Neodiprion lecontei: one gene and its partners. The protein of the gene in region 1 interacts with the protein of each later gene in a pairwise test. Links are inferred from orthologs where the notes say so. Each region holds a gene or a part of one and is shown in the gene's direction. Other genes may lie near its edges. The genes, in order: ras-related protein Ral-a, exocyst complex component 2, uncharacterized protein LOC107223499 and ralA-binding protein 1.

Evidence for each region.
Region 2: the proteins of ras-related protein Ral-a (region 1) and exocyst complex component 2 interact in a two-hybrid assay, tested with the Drosophila melanogaster proteins (2 studies listed by BioGRID). The link is inferred for Neodiprion lecontei from reciprocal best matches to the Drosophila melanogaster genes Rala and Sec5.
Region 3: the proteins of ras-related protein Ral-a (region 1) and uncharacterized protein LOC107223499 interact in a two-hybrid assay, tested with the Drosophila melanogaster proteins (2 studies listed by BioGRID). The link is inferred for Neodiprion lecontei from reciprocal best matches to the Drosophila melanogaster genes Rala and GEFmeso.
Region 4: the proteins of ras-related protein Ral-a (region 1) and ralA-binding protein 1 interact in a two-hybrid assay, tested with the Drosophila melanogaster proteins (6 studies listed by BioGRID). The link is inferred for Neodiprion lecontei from reciprocal best matches to the Drosophila melanogaster genes Rala and Rlip.

Annotation. Positions count from the first base shown.
Region 1 is NC_060261.1:40,157,458-40,163,695, reverse strand, and holds ras-related protein Ral-a, read left to right. Parts: upstream 1-1,580; 5' UTR 1,581-1,720; intron 1,721-1,841; exon of another isoform or gene 1,842-1,863; intron 1,864-1,867; exon of another isoform or gene 1,868-1,952; intron 1,953-2,650; 5' UTR 2,651-2,671; coding exon 2,672-2,776; intron 2,777-3,487; coding exon 3,488-3,696; intron 3,697-4,038; coding exon 4,039-4,213; intron 4,214-4,766; coding exon 4,767-4,883; 3' UTR 4,884-5,592; coding exon of another isoform or gene 5,593-5,697; 3' UTR 5,698-5,703; downstream 5,704-6,238. Other genes in the region: GATOR complex protein MIOS, read right to left, coding at 1-112, 231-521, 645-842, 947-1,067.
Region 2 is NC_060260.1:36,127,322-36,134,743, reverse strand, and holds exocyst complex component 2, read left to right. Parts: upstream 1-1,661; 5' UTR 1,662-1,872; coding exon 1,873-1,981; intron 1,982-2,097; coding exon 2,098-2,398; intron 2,399-2,473; coding exon 2,474-2,669; intron 2,670-2,797; coding exon 2,798-3,299; intron 3,300-3,439; coding exon 3,440-3,744; intron 3,745-4,037; coding exon 4,038-4,222; intron 4,223-4,307; coding exon 4,308-4,422; intron 4,423-4,493; coding exon 4,494-4,769; intron 4,770-4,851; coding exon 4,852-5,178; intron 5,179-5,240; coding exon of another isoform or gene 5,241-5,246; exon of another isoform or gene 5,247-5,259; coding exon 5,260-5,444; intron 5,445-5,574; coding exon 5,575-5,761; 3' UTR 5,762-5,779; exon of another isoform or gene 5,780-6,123; coding exon of another isoform or gene 6,124-6,185; exon of another isoform or gene 6,186-6,300; intron 6,301-6,586; coding exon of another isoform or gene 6,587-6,887; 3' UTR 6,888-6,915; downstream 6,916-7,422. Other genes in the region: uncharacterized protein LOC107225718, read right to left, coding at 519-627; uncharacterized protein LOC107225708, read right to left, coding at 6,124-6,185, 6,587-6,887, 7,034-7,118, 7,185-7,422. UniProt on the Drosophila melanogaster protein: Component of the exocyst complex involved in the docking of exocytic vesicles with fusion sites on the plasma membrane.
Region 3 is NC_060266.1:23,906,935-23,911,498, forward strand, and holds the start of uncharacterized protein LOC107223499, read left to right. Parts: upstream 1-1,533; 5' UTR 1,534-2,371; coding exon 2,372-2,459; intron 2,460-4,564.
Region 4 is NC_060265.1:31,648,904-31,653,593, reverse strand, and holds the start of ralA-binding protein 1, read left to right. Parts: upstream 1-1,645; 5' UTR 1,646-1,764; exon of another isoform or gene 1,765-1,873; 5' UTR 1,874-2,079; coding exon 2,080-2,164; intron 2,165-2,544; coding exon 2,545-2,680; intron 2,681-4,044; coding exon 4,045-4,292; intron 4,293-4,383; coding exon 4,384-4,500; intron 4,501-4,690. UniProt on the Drosophila melanogaster protein: Participates in receptor endocytosis during interphase, is also involved in mitotic processes when endocytosis is switched off.

The DNA of each region.
Region 1 (6,238 bases):
CATATAAGAATTTGATTTTCAATATGGGAAACTAAGTGATAATTGTTATGAGGATCTACTGACAAACTGTACACTGCTTTTGTTGGCGTTGAGTTCACTACCTTCACACAATCTAAACAGATGATTAATACAAAAAGATGTTTGAATCAACACAAATAAAAGGCAGAAGTTCCAATTATCCTTCATTGGCAATAAATTAATTAATAACCACCAGTACCATAATGTCTTACCTCGAAAATCAATAATCTTTAAATGTTTGTTATTGATTCCAACAACCAAACATCTTGGTTCGTTAAGGAACCAAGCGAGGGAATGTGCTGTTTCAGAGACTCCAGCCTCTGCTATAGGTCTGACAGATTCTGCCTGCATGTTACTGTGGTGATGCGATCCAGTTGGACTTTTCAGGACATCCCATAATAAAACGGAAGAATCCGTTCTGTGCTTATCCAAGCCACAAATTATTAAATTTGGGTCTACCGGATTCCATGCAACCGTATTGCATTGCCTTGCATGCCTCGGAGCTAGCAAAGTGATCACGGATATGATTAGAAGAAAAAAGCAAGCTAAAATATTATACCGTATAACTTAAAAAGAGAAGAAAATGAATACAACTTCCAGAACAATTATTGGTGAATTTCATTTACCAAGTTCCTTGCCAGTAAGTCCAAGAGAGTCGAATGCCGTTGGGCCAAAAGTAGTTAGTACAACTTTACCATTCGCTTGCCCAACTGCCAATAGAATGTCAGGCTCAGGTTGGGTGTAAATATCAATGCATTTAACATAGTGATGGTTTGTGTTCGTTGCCAATAAATGGGCGACTGTAGAGTCAGAGATCTTAATACCTGCAAATAATTCTTTTGTTAATAAAATATAAACACCCAACAAAGCGATATTCAAGAAATAACAACAATACGTGTTTTGTAATAGGCTTTGGGTCTCTACTCACAAGAAGGCCTGACACTATCTTTGATTTGGGTAACTTCGTATAAACATATTTCGGTGCCCCAAGTAATGAATTTATTTGGGTGTATCGATGACCACTGAACTTCTAACTTAACGCTACTCATTGTCAAATAATATTGTAGGTTAATTTAAAATCCGTGTACTACCAGGTCGTGTTGTTTACATTAGTAAAATATGTTTCTCCGATAATTAATGATGTAAAAACTAAACCTCTATCACCGGCGGAACATTTGTTTTCCGACAGTAAATTGTGGCGGCTATTGCACGTCCAAAATTGGTTCCATTATACGTTTGAACAATCCGATAAATAGCGTAAAAAAACAATCACAGTGAATCTACCGATTTCGGGACAACATAGCCTCAACGCAATTTGTTGCGCCGTATTTGTCCATTAGCGCATCCAAATAGCGATCTGCGCGTGCGCGAAACTATTTCGCAAGCGAAAAGTCGTTTTCGAAAAGTGATAATTCTGCTAGTGAAGAGCGGTGAAGAAAATTTGAATCAAATATTTTACTTCACCACAACATCTGAAAGTAGTTAACTGTGAGCATATTCTGTGGGATAATCAATAGCTTTGAATTTTGGGAAAGCACCGAAACTGAGTCGGTGACAGATCGAGTGACAGAAGCAGACGACTTTCAACACTCAGCAGCGCCATGTGTTGGCGCTTTAACGGCTCGATAAAGAACCAGCGCGTGACGGATCACGGATGCGAGCGTTCGATACGTCGGGCTTTGCGATTGACCGATTTTTGAAGGTAATTAATCATTTTTCTGTTGTTATTTTTGCAATCATACCCCCAAGAGATTCGCCGATTAAACCTGCATCCGTAAAATAACGGTACACTTTCATAAATTGGAAACATTGCCATATATGAAACACGAATATTGACTTCCTCTGGTAACTAGCACCCGACAGCGCGGCAACGCCTTTTGGTTATTCATCCTACGAATACGCCCTTAATCTTGATGTTTTATTGTGAGATCGAAGTAATTTCCAAGTCTGTACTAATTGGTGTTAAATGCGTAATAATGGTTTCAACAAATTTGATGCAGTAACTATTTTCAAACAACAATGTCACATTGTTACAACTAAACCTCATTACAATGTTTCATTTTTCCGTCAAGATTAAAGTCGATTAGATACGCGTATCAACAATGTATTATTTGTAAACTTTCTAATAGATGACCATTATTTAACAGTATGTCGTAATATCGTAGTTGTGGTTTGATTGTTTTTACATATATTCATAGTTAAATATTACACAATTGACAGCGATAAAATTGGTAAAATTTCCATTTACATCTCAGAGGAGAAGACAGGAAAATTTTCAGTGTCCTAATTAATCAACATTAAGAAAATTCCCATATTTTACATAAATGTAAAGTCTTTATTTATTAGTAGAAAAATTATCAAACACAACAACAATAATGAGTGTTGAGTGCATGCGAGAAACGTAAACATTTGTTCACCTTACTCCCATGGTTCCCATGCTGACAATAGGATTTCCATATCTTTCAGATCTCTATTATAGTAATGGAGGCGTAGTTCATGTAGCTTATAAAGTATTGAGTTTTTTCCTCCAGATAATGAGAAATTCTGTTCTACATGCGCGTAATCAATCAACAATTACATATTATTAAATGTGCAAATTTCAGTCATTTACATTCTGATATTAATATTTCAGATATAAATTCCACATACAAAAATGTCTAAAAAACCAGGCGCCACACAGGCCCTTCATAAGGTCATAATGGTAGGTAGCGGAGGTGTTGGAAAGTCCGCCCTGACTCTACAGTTCATGTACGACGAGGTATGTGGGTGATTTCTTCAGCCCCTTATCAGGCTATCATTCAAACTTTAATTAGATTTGAAGAAGTACAAGGTTCAGTTGATTTCAGTCATTTGGAACGAATGTATAACACTGTGTAATGTAAATAGGTTACTATTCAACTTAACAATCGAAAGAAACTGTTTTGTATCGATTTTTATAATGCCAAACATGAATACGTTGGCGGGAACTTTATCTGAAATGACATTTTTGAGAGTGTTGGTCAGCATAGAGTAACAAACACTTCGTTGCAGTCCTTTTCTGAATAACATGATAGTAGTACCAATCATGATAAGAAAACTTTCCATCCAGCAATGAACCCCAGCTTTCTGACGGCTGGGAAATAGTTTGGAATATTTTAAAGTAACAATCAAGTAGCTGTGGATATTGTTTACTTGATCTTTTAGGGTATAAATTTTGTTTTCACTTTCACTTTCCCATAATTTTGTGTTAAGAAAGGCCAAAAAAGGGTTGATAAATTTCTTTTAGACCTTATGATCCAATTTCCTCAAAATCATTGTGTGATTGTCAGTTGCTAATAACGAAGTTGAAACATAATCTATTTTTGTTATAGACTGCAAGTAATCAATAGTTTCACAGCACAAATGATCCTATCTTGTTGCACAATATAATTGTGGAACTCTTTATTTTGCATTTTTAGTCATTCATATCTACAACCATGTGTCATTTTAGTTTGTTGAAGATTACGAGCCAACAAAGGCTGATTCGTACAGGAAGACTGTTGTATTGGATGCGGAGGAAGTACAAATAGATATTTTAGACACAGCAGGTCAAGAAGATTATGCAGCTATTAGAGATAATTATTTCCGCAGTGGTGAAGGCTTTCTTTGCGTATTTTCTATAACAGAAGATGATAGTTTTCAGGCCACTCAGGAGTTTAGGTAAGAGTAAAAATATTAATATAACTCCTTAGTTGTGTTATTCAATATCAAGGAAAGGAAAATTTTCATCATATTTCTAAACAGTTAGAGTATAAATATATGGTTGATCGTAAGCTCGAAGGCAGCTGTCTCCTCGCTGTTGCTTGCCTCTTGACCCTTGTTTCTACATTTATGCCTTTCGAAATATTATTAGGGTATCTAATATCGTATGAAGACTCACTCTTGCTATCTCTATTATTATTCTGTTACTGCATGCAGCAGTGTCTTATCAAGTTAGAATAGAAAAAAAATTTGGTGTCAGATTACAACTGATTGATATTCAATGAACAATTTCCTCAACAGGGAACAAATTCTGAGAGTAAAAAATGACGATCACATTCCCTTTCTGCTGGTGGGAAACAAAAGCGATCTTCAAGAAAAACGAAAAGTCAATCTAGCCGAGGCACAAGCTAGATCGCAACAGTGGGGTGTTCCCTATGTTGAGACTAGTGCAAAAACAAGAGAAAACGTTGACAAGGTATGCTATAAACTTTTCCTGGTCAAGATATTGAGCTCTCGTAGCAAAATTTATGCGTAACCAACATACTTTATTCTTTTGGTCAGTTCTGTCAAGTAACTGGTAAAAATAATTTTTTTTTTTTTTTTTTTTAACATATAAAAGTGTAAACACAATTGCTGCAGATACTGCTTTCAGTGCCCTATTTATAGAACTAAGGCTTAAATTTGTATATGTTCACATTTTGCTGCGCACTCTTATTGTCAGCCAAGCAAATTTGTTTATATAAAATTTGCATGAATTTTGTGGCTTAATCATCTGCACTAAATAGATATGGACACGTTTGGTGGCATTTATATCAATGTAATCTAAATGTGTTCTACACGATTTGCAAACTTGAGAACTCTAGTATTCAAGTTTTCAGAAAGTTTTTTATTTGTGTTTTCATACAAAAGTCACAAACCAAATATCTACATCAATGAAACACTTCAGCAAAGTTATTGTTTAAATTGTATGACTGCATCTGCTTCATGCTTACAAGTCTTGAGACAGAGTATCTCTTGCGCATTTTCAGGTATTTTTCGACCTAATGCGCGAGATAAGGTCTCGCAAGATCGAAGATAAATCTGCAAGTAATGGCCGTGGAAAGGATCGTGCCAAGAGAAAGAAAAAGATGTGCATTATTCTATAGGTTGGCAATCTCCTCTCGCACTTTTATTCTCCTCATATGGTATTTTCATACTATAAACAGTGCATCAGTCTTCCCCTCTGCATAAACTTACCTACTCACAACTAAAATCTATTGGTACATGTATCGCAATCCAACTACAGCATACATGCTTATTTATTTTGGAAACGTTTTTTGAAACTTTCAAAAACTTACTATATAATATGATATAAAAGTTCAACATAATATTTCTGTAATGGTTCATACGCATAAAAATTTTGATGTTACCTTGTTGCGATGCCATATTGCTTACTTCCGTTTTTTTATTGAATTCAGCTCAACGTATCTTTCCATGTACTGATGCAAATGTAATAGTCTATTATTTAATGTCTGTAGCTGATTTGTAAATTTCTTTTACCTTTGTTAAATTTTTATTTAGTTTTGCTTAAAATTAATGTTCAAAAAGTACAGCTTTTGTAAATGGAATGCTTCTTAATGTTAGAAAGTTGAATTTAATAGCTGCTTAACTTTGATCCAAAGTGATAATATTATTTATTTACATGTGTCAAACTTTAATTCAAGCAACATAATTCTTAAATTTACCAACTTATCTGCCAGACAGAAATATCACCTGACTTTCAAATAATTCTTACCATTTAAATTACTTAAAACTTGTCTACACAATACCATTTTTGTTTGGTAGTTTATAAAATTGAAAGAATGATAATTCCAGGTATTCTTTGACCTAATGCGAGCAATAGCTGCACGCAAGGCTCAAGAAAATCAGGGTGAGGGGGGTGAACGGAAGAAGAAACCAAGTTGCTGCATATTACTTTAACATATTCAAAAACGATCATAATTTGAAATCATTGCTGCGTATCTCTTAGCGAGGTATAATAATATAAATAGCTCCTTTGTTCCATGGCATGAAGATATTTCACATTTCTTCAAAAAGGGATAATAATCATTTGGCCCTGACATCTGCTTATACCATTTCAAATGAATATTTGATGCAATTCGTGCAGCTGTAATTTTTACACTCATTAGTGGCTGTAATGTTTTCAACAATACATGATAAATGCCCAGTCGTAACAAACTAATTTAAATGTACACCTATATGTATATGCACAAGAAATGTGCAATGCTTGTGCCCTCTATTCTGATGAATTTGGTACAAAGTAATTTGCAATTATAGGAACCTCACACTATTTCCACTGCTCATATTTGAACATGCAAATATTTTTGCATCATTTTTGTACATGTGTAATACCTACTCGTCATTTGATTCCATTGCATCGTCATTATACTCGACTGGCAAGTTGCAAATTATGTCATTTGTATATCTAATGCAAGCATGCTTGTATATTATATAATTACCG
Region 2 (7,422 bases), on another chromosome or scaffold:
ACTGTTGCGTGTCTTGGTTTCAATTTTTTTTTTTTATGTTATTTATTATCCTTAAATACAATGTTTTACGATGGCTATAAATATGGTAGAAAGACACTAAATAATTGACTAATATTCCATTTCCTGAAGGTTTTTAAGAATTAAAAATACACCTTATATGTCACGGAGTTACCTATATGCATGTTTTCTGAAATTCTCGAAATGATTTTTTGAAATTGAGATTTCTCTTGACATTTCCAGGTTCTTGAAATTTTTATCTGTTTATATAAATCTTCACATATGTTATTGATCTCTGGTGAAGATAAAGATTAGACCTGTTTTGATTTCTTATTTTTTCACTCAAGGGTAGTTTTGAGGGCATCAGCACAATCGTTATGAGAGAAAGAGTAAAAAACCGAATTTTGTTAAGGACTTACAGTTATGGCCAGTATTTTCATGACTTATGAGAAAAAAAAATCAAAATGAGTGGAACTAAAAATCCCTCAGATTTATGTGATTGGAATAGTACTTGTACTTACCCAACGTCGATGGACTCAACGCAAGGTCATCTTCTAAGATAGAAGTACCATTGCAAGGAGCTGAGTTGTCAATGTCTCCCATTATTTGCTCTAATGCTACAGCGTGCATGTTAAAGTTAGTTGTCAATCATTCGACAATATGACATCTTTTCAAAGACAGTCAGGATATTTATAATATAGAAGCAATTCGATGTTGTCTGTAAATATTTCAATCACTTGATTAGGAAGGATCTAGAAATTGGACTACTCCATAAGTTGTGTTACGTAAAAAAATAACTGCTCATATTTTGCATTCGCTAATATGGACGGGTCAAGAGCATACTTCGCTCAAAAATTTATTAATCGATGTATTGTGTCTATGCCCAGGAACGGTAGAGGACCACAACTCGGCATACTAGGTTTGCACATTTTATTCATATGAATAAAATAAATCCTTTACTAACCTCTATGACGAACGATGATGATAAGGTGGAGTTGATTTAAGAACGGTGAATCATCACCTACCATATTTTATTACCCAGCAGATTGGCTCTGTAAACATTGACACATCAAGGAATACCCTACGATGAAAGCAATTGTACTGAAGGTTACAAGATATGTTTAGTAAAATTGTATGTTATTCTATGAGGTGATATACACGTTAAGGGTTGTTGACTCGCGAGGGGCTGCATGCTTGAAGAAAAAGTGTCATACCGTAATTTAGAGAGATTTTAGATCGCGACACACCGATAATGATTGAAAATAGTTCAACAAACAATTAAAACATCATTTGTCGACAATATGAATACGTCATATTGTTCAGATAGTATGCGAAACTCAAAATCAACATCTCACACCTCTTCCAGTCAAACGACGATACCTTCATAACGTAAAAATATTTCTAAGCGAGACGTGTTATTTTCTTTATGTTCCACTCACACTACGGAGTAAACTCACACACTCACCATCAACCCAGGTGCCAGAGATACCAGATTACGACTTACGACCTCTTACGAGCCGTGGTCAGACTGTCACGATCGTAAGTCAAGTGATGAAAGCCTTGAAAGTTTACTAACTGCTACCTGGTGGAATTTCCTGGAACTTCTCATGCTCCCGTCTGGCTCTCGCTAGATTTCAAACTAAAATCGGTAAAAGAGGATTTCTGATTACATTTGACACCACTTTGACACTGACATGACACTGACATCAACTTGTCTAACCTTTTAACCAACCTAATCTAACCCGAGCTGACATATTCTGGAATCGTGGGGCGGTTTGACAGATAAACCTGATCTTGACCACAAAAATAAGCACAAAATAAGGAATTGATTGGAGACAATTGTCTGATTCATCTGAAATTATTTTCAATGCAGATATGGGACCACCGCCAGTAGTTACAGGGATATCGCCGAAGGAAGGACCACCAGGAACGCGAGTGACGTTGAGGGGCGAGTTTTTAGGAGCAAAAGCGCAGGACCTGATAGGTTAGATTGAACTGTCACTGTTGAAAATATTGGCATTAATTGTAAAAGTCAACTATTGAAAATTGAATCCAGGTATACACATGCTGTACATTTTCCAAAAAATCATCCTATTACAGGTTTGACCATCTGCGGATGCGAGTGTCTTTTGTCAGCTGAATGGAAGTCCCCAAACAAAATCATCGCCCGCTCTGGACCAGGTAAAGGGCGAGGTGATATTATAGTCACAACAAGAAATGGAGGCCAGGGTACTTCGACCGTCCAATTTCGTGGCTATCACGAAACCATTGGACCCATGAAAGAATCTGCTGTATGGGTTGAAGAAGCACCAATGCAGAGCTTGGTATGGGGAAGACGAGCTCTGTCACCTACTAATTATCAGCAAGAGGATCCGTTAGGACTCAGCGTCGAAGGAAATGAGTTAGGAAATGTTCTGCATTCAAGATTACTGCAATAGTAACGAAGCAAGATCTAATCAGAATATATTGTTTTCAGTAAGAAATTTCCTGAGGATGAATTAATTGAGCTATTTGGCGATGGTAGCGGTGAATTGGCCAGTGAGAAGTTTCACCCAGGCTGGTTTTTATTACAACATCATCATGCTACCACCCTAGATGATCTTAAAGCAGGATTAGCTTATCTCAGACGCAAAGTTCACTCACAGAAAGAGGGCCAATTATCTTTTCTCAAGGTGAAACAGGACAATTTCACATCACACAGATACTTTTTGATTCGTTCAACATTCGATCTTCTGATTTACACTTTTGTTTAATTTTCTTCTCCAACAAGTAATTTGTTGATCTTTTTATTTATTTATAGGCGAATGTTGGTTCGGTGATGGAGCAATTAGATACAATTATGCTACTGAAGGAACAGTTTGAGTCAGATGTTCAAAAAAATGGCAAAGATCCAACAGCGAAACTTGAAAAAGCTATCAAAGATTCAATGGCTGAAGCTGACAAACTATTTCATGATGTCTTGGCTCGAAGAGATAAAGCGGATGCGACAAGGAATGCCTTATCTTTGATGCAACGCTACCGATTTTTGTTCTGTATGCCAGTAAACATTGAAAAGAATATAAAGGGAGGGAATTATGAGTTGGTAATCAATGATTATGCCAGAGTGAAGAATCTATTTGGTAATACTGAGTTGGAAGTTTTTAAAAAAGTATTAAACGAAATTGAAGTTAGAATTGGAAAACTTAGAACTGTGCTCCGAAAAAAATTAGAAGAAATGCCGGTCACTTTGGATGAGCAGAAAAAGATCATAAGAAATTTAGTAAACCTCGCAGCTGAAGGTGATCCAGCATGGGATGCGATAGGTATGCACTATTAAATATATGTGAAATTTCAATAGGAAAGTTCATGAACCAGGGCATCACGGGTCAGTCAAGTACATTAGTATTCTATACAGGTTGAAATTCTTTGTGATGTACTGCAATGGTGTATGTTTGTATTTCAGCATCACATGCTCATTATTTAGAAAAAAGTGTGACAGCTTGTATAAACGAGTATTTAGAATCTGAAAACGCTGGTGGTGATGATTCGAGTAAAACCCCAAAGTCAAACGGCTTAACGCCAACCTCGGTCAAACAATTGAGAATGCAACAAAACGAGGAAAATAATGTTCCACCACAGGTTCTATGTGTTGAAGCTATTTGTGATGTAGTCACAGAGCAATTACCAGACTTATGGCGCTTAGGACAGAGTTATTTTACAGGACAATTACACGTAACTGTTGATATAGAAAAACAAATCCCCTTCAAAGTGAGTATTCAAATAATGACTCAGGAAATGCTGTTGACTTTCTAATTTAAACCTTAATACTTGGTATACTTTTTCATTTTAATGCTGAGAAAAAAAATGTTCCATATAAGGTTTTTCATATAGTATGCATGTAATTCGATTTTACACACTGCATCGAAAAGTGCCATTTTATGCACTAATAGTAGTGCTTAAAATCGAATTATTCTACATATACTATGTCAAAAAAGTATCATATGTAACACATGCCTACATTTTACATAATTGTGCCATAATATACTATTTCGATATTTTAGAGCCTGGTTCTATCTAGTATGCAACATGCAGTGGATGCAATGAAAACAGCCTGTGGGACAAACTTGGATGCATCTTGGCTTCTTCATAACTTGAGACGTATCCGACAAACGTATGCGTCTTTAATTCATTTGGATTTACCCAGTGAGGCCTTAGACATATTTGGCAAATACTTATTTGATCTTAGGTAGGTATTCTAATGTATTTGATAGTTTCAAAATGTGAATTAATATGATTTAAAGTGAATAATAAAACATTTGCGTTCAATTCAGGTTACAGTGCTTGGTGGCATTGTTCAAGCAAACCGCAGACAAAATAACTGCCTTACATCGTAAGGAAACATGGAAAATTGAATATCTGAATGAACACGGAGGAGTAACACGACTGGTAATACACTCCGGCACTACATATTTCAAGAGAAATATTCAGTTTATTTATGTTTGACTTACCTTGAATAGCCAGGTCTTTTTGAAGAAATGGTACTGGAAGTGTCAAAACTCGCTCGAGAAACAGTAATAGCTTGTGGACCTCGAGAACTCCCTTTGCTAGCGCATACTAGTCATCAAACTCTGTTTCATAATGCAGTAAAAACACTATTCACTGCTTTTGCAAAATGCTTACAACAGCTGGCTTTCAGTGGAAGTGAAGAAGCTATGGACGATGATGAATCCTCAGTATCACAACTGATTGGTTCTCCAGTTGGCTATAGAACTAGAGACAAGCAACAAGGGCCAGTGAGAATTTACTTTGAATATTTTCATTGCTAGTTACTGTTTTCAATAAACGCTACCAACCGAATTATCACACTTCCTACAGACATGGGAGCAGTGTTTACTAATATCACTGAGTAACATTCGTTATACTCTGAATACAATAATACCACATGTTAATGATGCACTGAAGCAGCATGGTTATCCGCCCTTGTCTTTAACCATGAGTTCGAATACCGATTGGACTCAATTGGATACATTGGATAGTGCCGTATTAGACGCATATTTGGAACGACGCTGTGATCCCCTTGTCGGTACCATAGAACCAAGTATGTACCTAGGTGGTCTAGAATGGCATTTGGACATTGAGCCCTCACACGTGAGGCCTTACGTACAAGAGGCTTTGACTAATCTGATCGCAGTTCATGCAGAGGTATTTACGTTGTTTTCATGTGAAAATATTAAAATTACAGATAATTTGGATTCATTTTATAGTTGTAATTTCATGAAACAGGTACGACGGGTTTCACCAGGTTTATTGAAGAGAGTTTTATCACACATTGTTGAAACAGTTGCTGAAGAATTAGCACGGCTGATGTCTTGTGTAACTCGTTTTAGTCCTTCAGGAGCTGTTCAAGCTAGAGTCGATATTACGTTACTGACAAGTGCTGTCCACTCTTATATTACTCCGAGAGCTGGGTAAATCTTGGTCTTTCTTTTTTGAATCCCAACCGAAGCCCTATTTGTATCAGATTCAAATAAATTTGTGGCACTGATTCGCTTGGGTAGAAATCTGAAGCATAATGAAAATACAACATTTTTCCTACAGGAGCTTTTTCGAAGAAGCATTGGATGCGATTTCTGAACCAGTCTGTAAAGAGGACTCGCAAAAAGTCGACGCTCTATTGCGCAAAGTAGCTTCCTCCATGCGCCTACAACTTGCATGTCTTGCTGACGATTCAGCAGACGGCATTATTCTGAAGGGATCCGATCCAAATCGTGCGACAACAGTTTAACTTCCATTTGGAAATTTGGTAACCACTTTTCCTTCAGTTTATATGATTGACAAATTTTTTTACCAACTTACATGACTCCGCATAATCCCTTCTTATCAAGACAAATAACGTGCTATTAAGTACAAGTGGGATTTACTATTGAGTAAATTGTGCACGATTCACAATATATTTCATGGATTCTTCAAACAGTTTGAAATAGTAGTATAATTATTTATATTTTGTAAAATACAGAGACACAGAACTGTTAGACATACATTTGTTTGCTATGCGACAGCTTCCCATACATAGAAAAACTTGCAGATTATTAGGATGGTGTAAAACTATGTACATACATACAATTTCCACTCACGAAAAATGAATCTTTACGTGGTCTCTTCAACGACTTGCAAGATTCCGGTAGTTCCAGTTAGTAATACTATATCACCTGTAAATAGGAGTGGATAATATAGTTTACAAAAAAAAAAGGAAGCAGTAAAGTTTTGTTTTAGTGTCTATACCTGATATTACGAATAATACTAAGCATCACGATAACTGACTATGATCAGAGTTATAAATACATATTGTAAATACGACTAATATTGCATAGCGAAAATAAGAAAAATAACACAAATAAATATCAGAGAAAACAATTTGGAACATGCTTTTTTCATCACAAACACAAAATTATATTTATGTAGAGCTTGCTTTATTTCACATATTTATATCTGTTTAAATCAGGGATAAAACAAGGGCTATTGCAGGTTTTGTTAAAAATGATAGTTACGAATTGAATAAGTGTACTACTACTCTTTTTGTTTTTGTGTAGATGTTTTGATTCATACATACCTGTACGAAATTTTTGTGTAGCTCCTTCAGCACCAACAATACACGGTAAACCATATTCTCTCGCTACAACAGCTCCATGACTAATGAGACCTCCAAGTTCAGTGACCACACCACCCAATATTGGAAAATAGGGACTCCAACCAATATCGGTGCACTGTGTTATTAATATATCACCAGGTTTCAGTTGTACAGCATCATTTATATTAGTGATAATGCAAGCACGACCTAGGACTGTCCCTCCACCGACTGGTGTTCCTGATACCCGAGCACCTCCCTCACGAATTTTTGTACTGGGCTCTGCCTAAATAGAACAAATATTTTTATAAATATTTAATAGTGTTAAGATTACCATATACGTACAGATTAGACATTACAAAAAAAAATTGGAGGATACCACTTTCTTAATTGTTGTGAACTGATATTATACAGGAAATACTTTTCACTTACCAGTATAGGTTTTAATACACCTCTATTCACTTCCGGGAACTGAATTTTGTCACAGTGAGGATAAAGTCTTTGTCTTCTTATCGCTCTAAAAAACAATTTTTTGTTTTTCAAATTAACCTTATGCTCAGTAATGAATAAGCAAAATACTCACTTTTGCACTAATGTTGGATTTGAACTAATAAATAACAGACCAATTTCCTGATGGGTAAGAAAGAATATCAAATTCATGTCAGGTAGTTGGCCATCCTCGACCATTAGTCTACCAAGTTTTTGGTATCCTAATCTCAAAGCATTGACTGTGGAAACTAAAACAGCTTTTGTCAATTCTCTGCGACTAACGGCACTCCTGTTAAGTGGTATCAGCATCTCCAATATCTTTTTTGTGACTC
Region 3 (4,564 bases), on another chromosome or scaffold:
AGAGTACATGTATAAAAAAAGTGTTCCAACGCACGTTGTATTGTACATATATACATACATATATATATAGTATACTCAAGTCACAAATCCGTTCGGAGTCGAGAGCACGAATCGAGGCGTCGTCCTTATATACGGAGGGAGGTCCAGTATGGAGAAATAAAAGAGATTTTATTGCGAGCGGCGAAATGCAGCAGAGCTGAGATGAGATGATTTGAGAGATGACGGGGGAATAGTGGAGTACGTAGTGGGATTGATGAACGAAGCGCGTTGCCCCGAGTTAGGACTCGACTACTCGTATAACTGCGGCAGGTTCGTATCATTGTACGTACGTAAGTTCAACGGTCTGTTGCCGTCGCGTCGAGACTAATCGGTGATCCGTGATCGAACGTGCGTTTGAAATTCCAATTTATCGATGGCACAATTTTATTTTTCTAATTACGTTGGGGGAGGGGCGGAGGTCGAGGGTTTAAGTTTGAATCCAGAATTTCGAAAAGATTCTGCGATAGCTTCGGCCGCCATTTTTAATTTATGGAAGAATTTGTTTTTGTCGAATAACTGATCACCGATTTTAATCACCGTTTATTTTCATTAAAAATGACAATAAATAAACTTGAAAGAAATTTAATTTTATACATCACAATTTGGTAAAAATTTTTGGTCACGTTGGATATTTACAGATTTGAACTGTAAATTCAAGATGGCGGCTGAAGCTACGGCACGCAGAATTCGGTCGAAGTTCTAGATTTTGACCATCGCCCCGAGCGATTGGAAAAAATAGCATATTCTGTAAAAAAGAGACAAACACGGTCTTTTCGGGGCGAGCCTAAGTTTGCAATATAAGTCGTAGATGAAGAAACACGCGAGGCGAAAAGACCGTTGCCTCCTTGTTCCACGCGATTCTTTACATAGCAAAAGTGTGTAACGCGTTTTTCTACGAAGCACGAAAATTCAAGTTAGGTTCGCGCAACGTCAGATTTTTCAGCGTCGGCGCACGCGCGGAGTACAATAAAAGACCACTTTTCAACTCCTCCGCGCATGCGCGTTCGCAAACTGACTCTTCCGTCGTAGAACCGGGTATTTCGCGTACTCAAAACACGGATGGAAAAACGCTCAAAGCATGTTCTCGTTTGTATAACCCCGATTTATACGAACGCTGGAAAACTGGTTAGAGAAAATCTTGCAGTAATATGATTTCAGGGAGCACAACAGTTCAGTTTCAGCGTGTCTCGATGAGTCGTTCGTGAACGGCAACGGATTCTCGGTCCGTCCCGTTTCGTCTTTCCTTCATCTTCTTCTTCCTCATCTTCGTCTCCTTCTCAACGTCATTAAAAGTTTCGATATCGTCGTCGATTTTAAACCGTGAGACGGATGGATGCAAAGCATCGGCATCGTCAGCAGCAGCAGCAGCAGCAGCAGCAGCAGCAGCGGCAACTCCTCGCATGCATCGTAGGTTACATACGTGCGTCTCCACTAAGCTTATATATAGGTATATGATACGGAGAATCGAGGAGGACTGTTTCGTCTGTTTCTCTGCCGCTTTAGTCCGTGTCGCGACCTCGCGCCGAGGGGATGTCGTTCTTCCTCGAGCGTTCATCGCACGCCGTTTGCCTCCACGATACGTACTCTTTACGTCCTTCTTTCTTTATTTTTACACGCGTGCACGGTATTACAACAGTGGACTCGTCGTTGCGTATCCCTTGTACTTGAACCACGGCTACTTTGTCGCATCTAGTCCATCCTCGAGTTTTCTCTCTTAATTTTCTTCCTTGCGTATCATCGTCAGAAATGAAGAATTTTTTTTCATCTCTTCAAACAAACGAGTAAATAATAATATACATACTTCGTAGAGAAAACAGAGAAGAGAAATAATAACTAAATTAATCAATATTCTGTACAGTTCGTTCGTTGATTTTCAAACAGTTGTTTCAAAAAACCGAATAATTCACGATTCTTGTAATACTGCAAGTGATGATTATAAATAACAACAGTGACAATATTGTTCGTTTTCTTTCCTCCACCGCCACCACCTCCTCCTCCTTTTCCCTCTTAATCGTTATCGGTGATCAGTGATTGAGTACAATGCATAATATATAATATATAACATCCTCGTATCGTATAATTTCGTAATCCTTGTGAAAACCGCAGTGATTGCAAGTTCGTTCAAAGTTGCAAGTAGGTATATACCTACACGCATCTGCGTTGTAAATTTATCATCAATATCCCGATATCAACCGACCACATATTCCATGAAAAAACGACACCAGGCGTATCCCGCGTCCACGTTTGCTTGTAAAAAATCATCGTTACACAAATACGCACCGTGAAAAGATATTGAAATCGATAAATCAACCGGCTGGATAATTAAATAATAATGGGAAGCGAGGCTGTCAAAAGTGGAAACGTCCGATCGAGTACCGTCGTTGATTCAGATGGATCCGATACATGGGAAGATTTTTTCGGTAAGTTCCGCGTGTCTCGTTATTGTAATAAATAAAACCGCATCGATCTTTCATGATCTATTCTTCCTCCTCGTTCAAACAGAATTATCGAATTCTGTTACGTTACATATTTTTCTCTACGATAATATCTCCAATATCCTTCTCAATCGCCACGTTTTTCAAATTTCTATCATGTCGAAGTTAGTAACGTTACCGCAACCGATTCGTGCTGAGATTAAAAACCGTTATTATCTCGCGATTTTGGAACTATTTGAAATCGAGTAAACCGCGAAAAAAAAAACAAAACATACCGATTAATATTTTTCCATCTCAATTCTTTCATAAATTATTGTAAAAATAAGAAAATAGTCATGTTTTCCACCATGTTTCTAACTTCAACCTTGTGAATTTCTTCACTTCCACTTGTATATAATAATGTATATAGGTATATATATATACATATACATCGATACAACACAGGATTAATTCTTTTATCTTCCTTTCCTTATTCGTCACACATTTTCGCGCCAATGAATCGCGATTATCAATAACGTAGGTATATGTTATACACACGGATAGACCTGAGACAGTACAACGTTTTGTGTGAAATAACACGCCTCTAAAGAATTCCTTGTTTCATTGACATTCGTATTCCCATTATTACGTACATAATAACAAATGTGATCCAATACCGCGAAAAATATATTGTTAATCATCCATGTACAACATATACACGCGCGTATGAAATATCTTTGCGAAAAGATGTGACAACAGTATGGAAAGAAATTCTTGGAAAAACGCCCCGCCGCATTGTATCGTAGTAGACGATAATATTGTCTATTATGTTGCACGTACGTTTTTACACCTACAAGCGTACACGCCTTGAATCTCGTCTCTTTCCTCGCCTTTCCACCCTGTGCCTGGTGGTTATATATTTTCACGATTCAAGCTTTTCTCCTTCGACGCACGTGCGTGCGCGCAGCCTGATTTTAATGCCGACAAGCATCGGCGTTGCGTGCACTGGCAACGCATTGGCTGATTCTTAAATTCCGCAAATCGGTACACCATGCGCATATGGACCGATCCCTTTATTCGTATGTGTGGCAAATCGGGTTGCGGCCTGTACAATTAATTGTGCACGAGACGACGAAAGAAGAAACGAAGAGAATTTATTCACGGTGATACGATACGTTTTTTTCTTCTTTTTTTTCTTCGTTACTAAAATAAAGAAGAAAATTTCTAGCGAAAAGTTGGGCAAAAATATGTCACGTAGAGTGAATTTCTAACGACCGAATGGTCTGACGCGCGTGCGCAAAAATTCGCGCAGCAAGAGGAGCTGTTGTTTTATCAGGATGAGCAACGTTCGCAAGATTTGTCCGTAGACTCGCCGCGACGTAAATAACCTAAAAAATGTTGTTGGCCCTGACAAACGAAAAGCTGTACCGTCGCTTTCGAATTTTAGCGCGTTCGCGTTAAAACCATCCAGTCGTTAGCGAATCACTCTCTCTGTACGCGTATGTACACATACTTGTGTTACAAAACGAAAGAAATATCAGGCACGGAAGAAAAAAAAAAAAAAATAAATAAACAAACAAGGTAAACAAACAAAATTCCTTTGTAAAAACGCTTGGTTGCATTAAACAATAATAACAAAATCGACGCTGCAGGTAAAACGACAAGAAAAAATAAATATACGTATACCTTATACTATAGTTCAGAAATCTGAGGAGCTTCAAATGCGCAGAATAAACGTTTCAACAAGCGGCACGTTTATGATACGCAATGAATTTTTAAATACACGTACAATTGTACAGACTTGCAATTTTATTCGTCGTTTATCGTTTCTTTCCTCCCTCCCTTTTTTTTTTTTTTTTGTTTTTTCTTTTTTCTCCCCTGTGTATTCGTTTCGAGAAAATCGTTCGATTATTTACTTCAACGTTAGAGAGTGACTAGATAACCAGAGTAAATAATCTGAGCTATACCACGTGCACCTTATAGGTAGGTAGGTTGGTCGGTTGTATATCCACCCTGTAGTTCTACAATATGGAAATGTCACTCGCCCACGCGTTGAACCGGAATAAAATAAAGGATAACAAAAAATATGTATATAAAGAGAAAAAAAAAAA
Region 4 (4,690 bases), on another chromosome or scaffold:
TTTTGGTCGCCTTTGCGCACCTCCCCTCTTTTCTAGGAATTCTAATTAGGGCACGACATCTTCGCCGCATGCACGCCTGTGATCTTATTTCTTTAGCTATTACTATATTGTAGGTTTTTACGTATGGTATATCGCTGCTTGGTGCGGTGGTGTAGGTGCGTGGACTTGGTTCCGTAGTTCTCCGAACTGCGTGAGCTTTTCGTTGTGTCGCCAGCCCCCTTTGTGGCGCCAGCCCCCTTTGTGGCGCCAGCCCCTTTGTGGCGCCCGTCAGCCACTTAACTACCTGTCTACCTCTGAATGTTTTTGCTATCTTGCTCGTTACAAAGCCCATATTTCATTTTGGTTACCTGTCGTTTGTTAGTTTTATAGTTATATCTATATAGAATTGTATATGTATTATAGTCGACTACTGTCGTTGTTAGTTTTATAGTTGTATCTATATAGAATTGCATATGTATTAAAGTCGACTACTGTCGTTGTTAATCTGGAGTACAATAGCAATTGTTTATGAACATAGTTTGTTATTTGTTTAGCATTATTAGAATCACGCTGCTGCGAATATCTTTAGTTGTTTGTGTTATAACTATCTTAACAGATTTAGGGTACTTAGTAATTTGATGATTCATAGCTTTAGAGCAGGTTTACATGTGTGCTTTTGTATATGATTCCCTTCTGTAGTTGTTAATTCTTATATTGATATAAATCGGCTTGGAAGCTTCTAGAACGTTTTCGTTTCGTCGGTAAGTTTCCTAATGTATTCTCTAGGTAAGGCTCTGTATGGCTCCACATTGGAGATCTGCATTGCCTTCAAAACGTTGCGCGTGTTGCCTACAATACGGCGTTGCGGAAGAAGGTATAGTTCATGCTGGGTAATTAGCATTCACGGTTTGATGGTTTTGCAGTCTCTGGTTTTATGGGTTATTGCAGCAGTGCTATCTTTACATTATATTGGTTATGCATTTATCTATGGTTTTACAGTCTTCTATACTCCAGGCTATATAGTAAAGCGTATGTTGCTTAAGTATAGCTCTCAGCTCCGAATGCACAAATGGCATTGCTGAGTGCTATATAATAATTGGGTATAATTGTGTTAGTTAATTATAGTGTTAATGTGATAGTGATATATAATAACGTATAATAATATTATAGTTCTCTGTAGTACGAAGATCTCGTAACATGGTTTGTAAGCCTTGGCTAGTGAATTTCATAGTTATTTCCATCTAGGGGTATTCCAAATAGTTAGACAGTTGTTTTAATTTCTTATGGTTACAAGATTCTCGTACTTAGAGTTTGGTTAGTTGATAAAAGTAACATGCAGTAATAATAATCGATAAAACATACGGACGTTCCGGTCGGACGTTACACACTCCTCAGCAATCCCTAGTACACTACCCTAGTTCTTTTTACACTCGCGAGTGTAGAGTATAGCTAGCACGAACAAACCTAGGCCGTGTTCGTAAATTGACTGCCAGTACTAAAAATTCCCTAGGAAAGAGACAGAGCTGTCCATGAACTCGGCAGCGCAAATGAGATAAAAGATTGCCGACAGTGGTGTCAGTCAATTTTCGAACACGGCCAAAGTGTAACGAAAGTCTAGTGACATTTGTAAAACAAACAGCGCCATCCGACGTCACGTCCGCTAAAACGAACGCGCAAGTGTACACCCCCACGAAAGTGTAGAAAGTGTAGCTAGCACGAACAAACCTACTACCAAATAGGGCCTCTAAATTGGAATTGTCCGACCTTTATACGAGGCCCTAGTCGGTAACTTGCCATCCAATTTTCCTGACACACCATCTCCCATAAGGCCAGCGCCCTTTAGTAGAGTATGAACTGCATCTTCACGTTGACTGACCAACGGTCTTCATTGTAGATTCACTGTTCACCGACCAAACCTGACCAAACTGACTATGTTGCATCCGTCAATCAATGTCAAGCTACTGTCAAACAAGTGAAAACCTACAATCATTTTGAAGGAAAAGACGGAACAAAGAACTGTCGAATATTGCGACATGCCTGGAGGTTGCAGATTTCTCAAACAGTCAACACGTTTACAAGAAAAGTCATAATTGTATAAAGATGGATTTCGAAAGCCCTGATGTTGAAAAAGATTTTCCTGGCTTGTACGCTTCGGAATCCGGGAGAAAGAGCAATGAAAGCGACTGTAAGATATTAATGATTCTTCATCCTAGGAGCACGGGCTCATTTTTTGCTTGCAGAAATCGCACACGCATATTCACACGCGCGCGCGCGCGATAGTATTACATTCCTCCTGTGGAAACTATGTTCCTATTTCGGCATAAATCTCCCAATTTTCTCGAGAGTTGAATAAATCTTCATCGAGTTATATAACTTGTAACGGACATATACATGTAGGCCAAACTTCTGTGTAGAGCTACACAAGGTTCACGAGACTTGCGTGTAGTTCTAAGTATTGAAGCGTAGCATTTTTAATGACACCTGTAGTGTCTGACATTCGACTTGAAATTTATAGTTTTAAAAATCAAACAAACCACTAGTTCAAACAATATTTATGTTGGAAAGTTAGTGACGATGGACACGATAGGCCGTCTAAGAAGGAACTTCTCATTGGCAAACGTAAGGACAAAAAAGACAAAAAGGATCGTGGATATGCTACGCTAGAGGGTGAAAGCTCCCCAGAAGAAGACATCGAAACTAAGTATTGTAATACTTATGCCTTTATAGTAATAATGCCTTTCATGCAGAAATTATATTCATTTTTTTAGTATATCATGGAAAAAATAGAAGACAACATCTATCAGATGTTATCTCTAATTATGATACTTTCTCAATCAGATATCTCAGTTTATTGAATTGTTGCCTGCTATTCAACACATATTTGTCCACGGAATTAATTTCAATAATTATCATTCAAATCGCTGAATGATGTACATTTGCGAAGATGTATTGAAGGCAACAAAAGTGTCTTATATAATACTAATATGGATTACGCGTCTTTTTTTTACGTCTTTTCCGGATGTAAAGCAATCACTTTTACGACAGTATAAATAAAGAGCATCGAAGTATGTAAAAGTACACAAAAACATCCTAGTATTTCAAAGTGCTCTTTTTCGTACTTGGTTAAAAATAAAAATTGTGAGCCACACTTCTATTACGTAAAGTATTATGTGCACCATGGAGGGAAATTATATTTTGACTCACGTATTTGCAATATTTGTCTTCGGCTTGCGTAAACATGCTCACTTACATCTCATATTGCAAACTTGTGCTTGGCGTGAAAAGATCTACTTTGCTTCTTTGGTGCACAACCTACTATTACAATTACTGATTTCTGTTTTGCTTGAAATCTTCCGTAATTCCTCATAATCGCTTTTAGTGAATTTTTTCTATCACGCTAAACCTTGTAAGGGTGCTCACTATTACATATTCTTAATCAACATTAGCATGGTAGATCTAATTACGTTTGCAGCCCATTAGCTGTTGCCTGTCGATTGGCTGAGATTCTGAAATTAATAGCTTCTGTCATCACTCAGAGATGCATGGCCCTCATATTTTCTTTACGTAAATACTATTCCCAGCTACTCTGTTTTTGCTTGAAAAAAATAAGAGTGCTTAACGAATATGTCTATCAACTGCTTTGTTTCTAGTTGCGGTGACTTAATTTTGTTGATTATACTTGCTCTAATTTACTTAACAAACCTATATTTTGTGATAAAAGTTTTTATTTACTACGTACAAGAGACAAGCAATTAATTTCTTACCTAATAACATTTCCACATGTTATTTAGCTATGCACACTCACTCAAGACAGTTCTTGTAGGTTTAGATATGAAATTAGTATCTTATATGGTTGAGACTATTACAAATGAGTTAACGGCTTCTGCGTATCGCATCTATTGACTTGCGATATATTTACAAAATAGATGTAAAAGGGACTTATAAATCCCCATCCTACACAAACGTTTTTGAATTTATATGTATATATATCTAACGAAAGATAAATGTGTTTGGCCATCTTTTCATATTGTACGCATTGTACTTCTTAATGTATACATTTCTTAGGAGTCCATCGAAGTCAAAAAAGTCTAAAACATTCAAGTTCCCATCTAAGAAGGAAAAGCGAGAGAAATCCAGAGAAAAAGATGGTAAGGAAAAGGAAACAGATAAAGAGAGAGAGAGGAAAAAAAAAGACAAAGACGACAAGGATACGGACAAAGAGAAACGTAAAGATAAAGATAAGGAGAAATCTAAACAAAAGTTGAAGGATCGCAAAAAAGGAAAACATTGGGAAGAAACTGTTGATATTGGTGGTAAGACAACTGCAGAGAATACTGAAGCCCTGTGATTGGGGTGATATACCAATAAAAAATTAATCAATCTTTATTGATCAACATGTTTCAGAAGAACAACCAATCTTTGGCGTTGCTCTTCAAATGGCTGTGGAAAGAGGCCGTTGTCATGACGGAGTGGAGCTTCCATTGGTTGTAAGAAATTGCATTGATTACATTGAAGAATATGGCAAGTCAATAGCATCAATAATTATATCTTTGAATATTTAGTGACAACTGGCTAGACGGCCAGGCTCATGTACTTCATCTTGATGGTCAATTTGTGTGGAAGTGCTTTTGCAGTATAAAAATATCAAGGTCTAGAAGAGGCATTTAAAAGTCTCCTGTGTAATCATCGACTTGAGTGACATATAAATGTT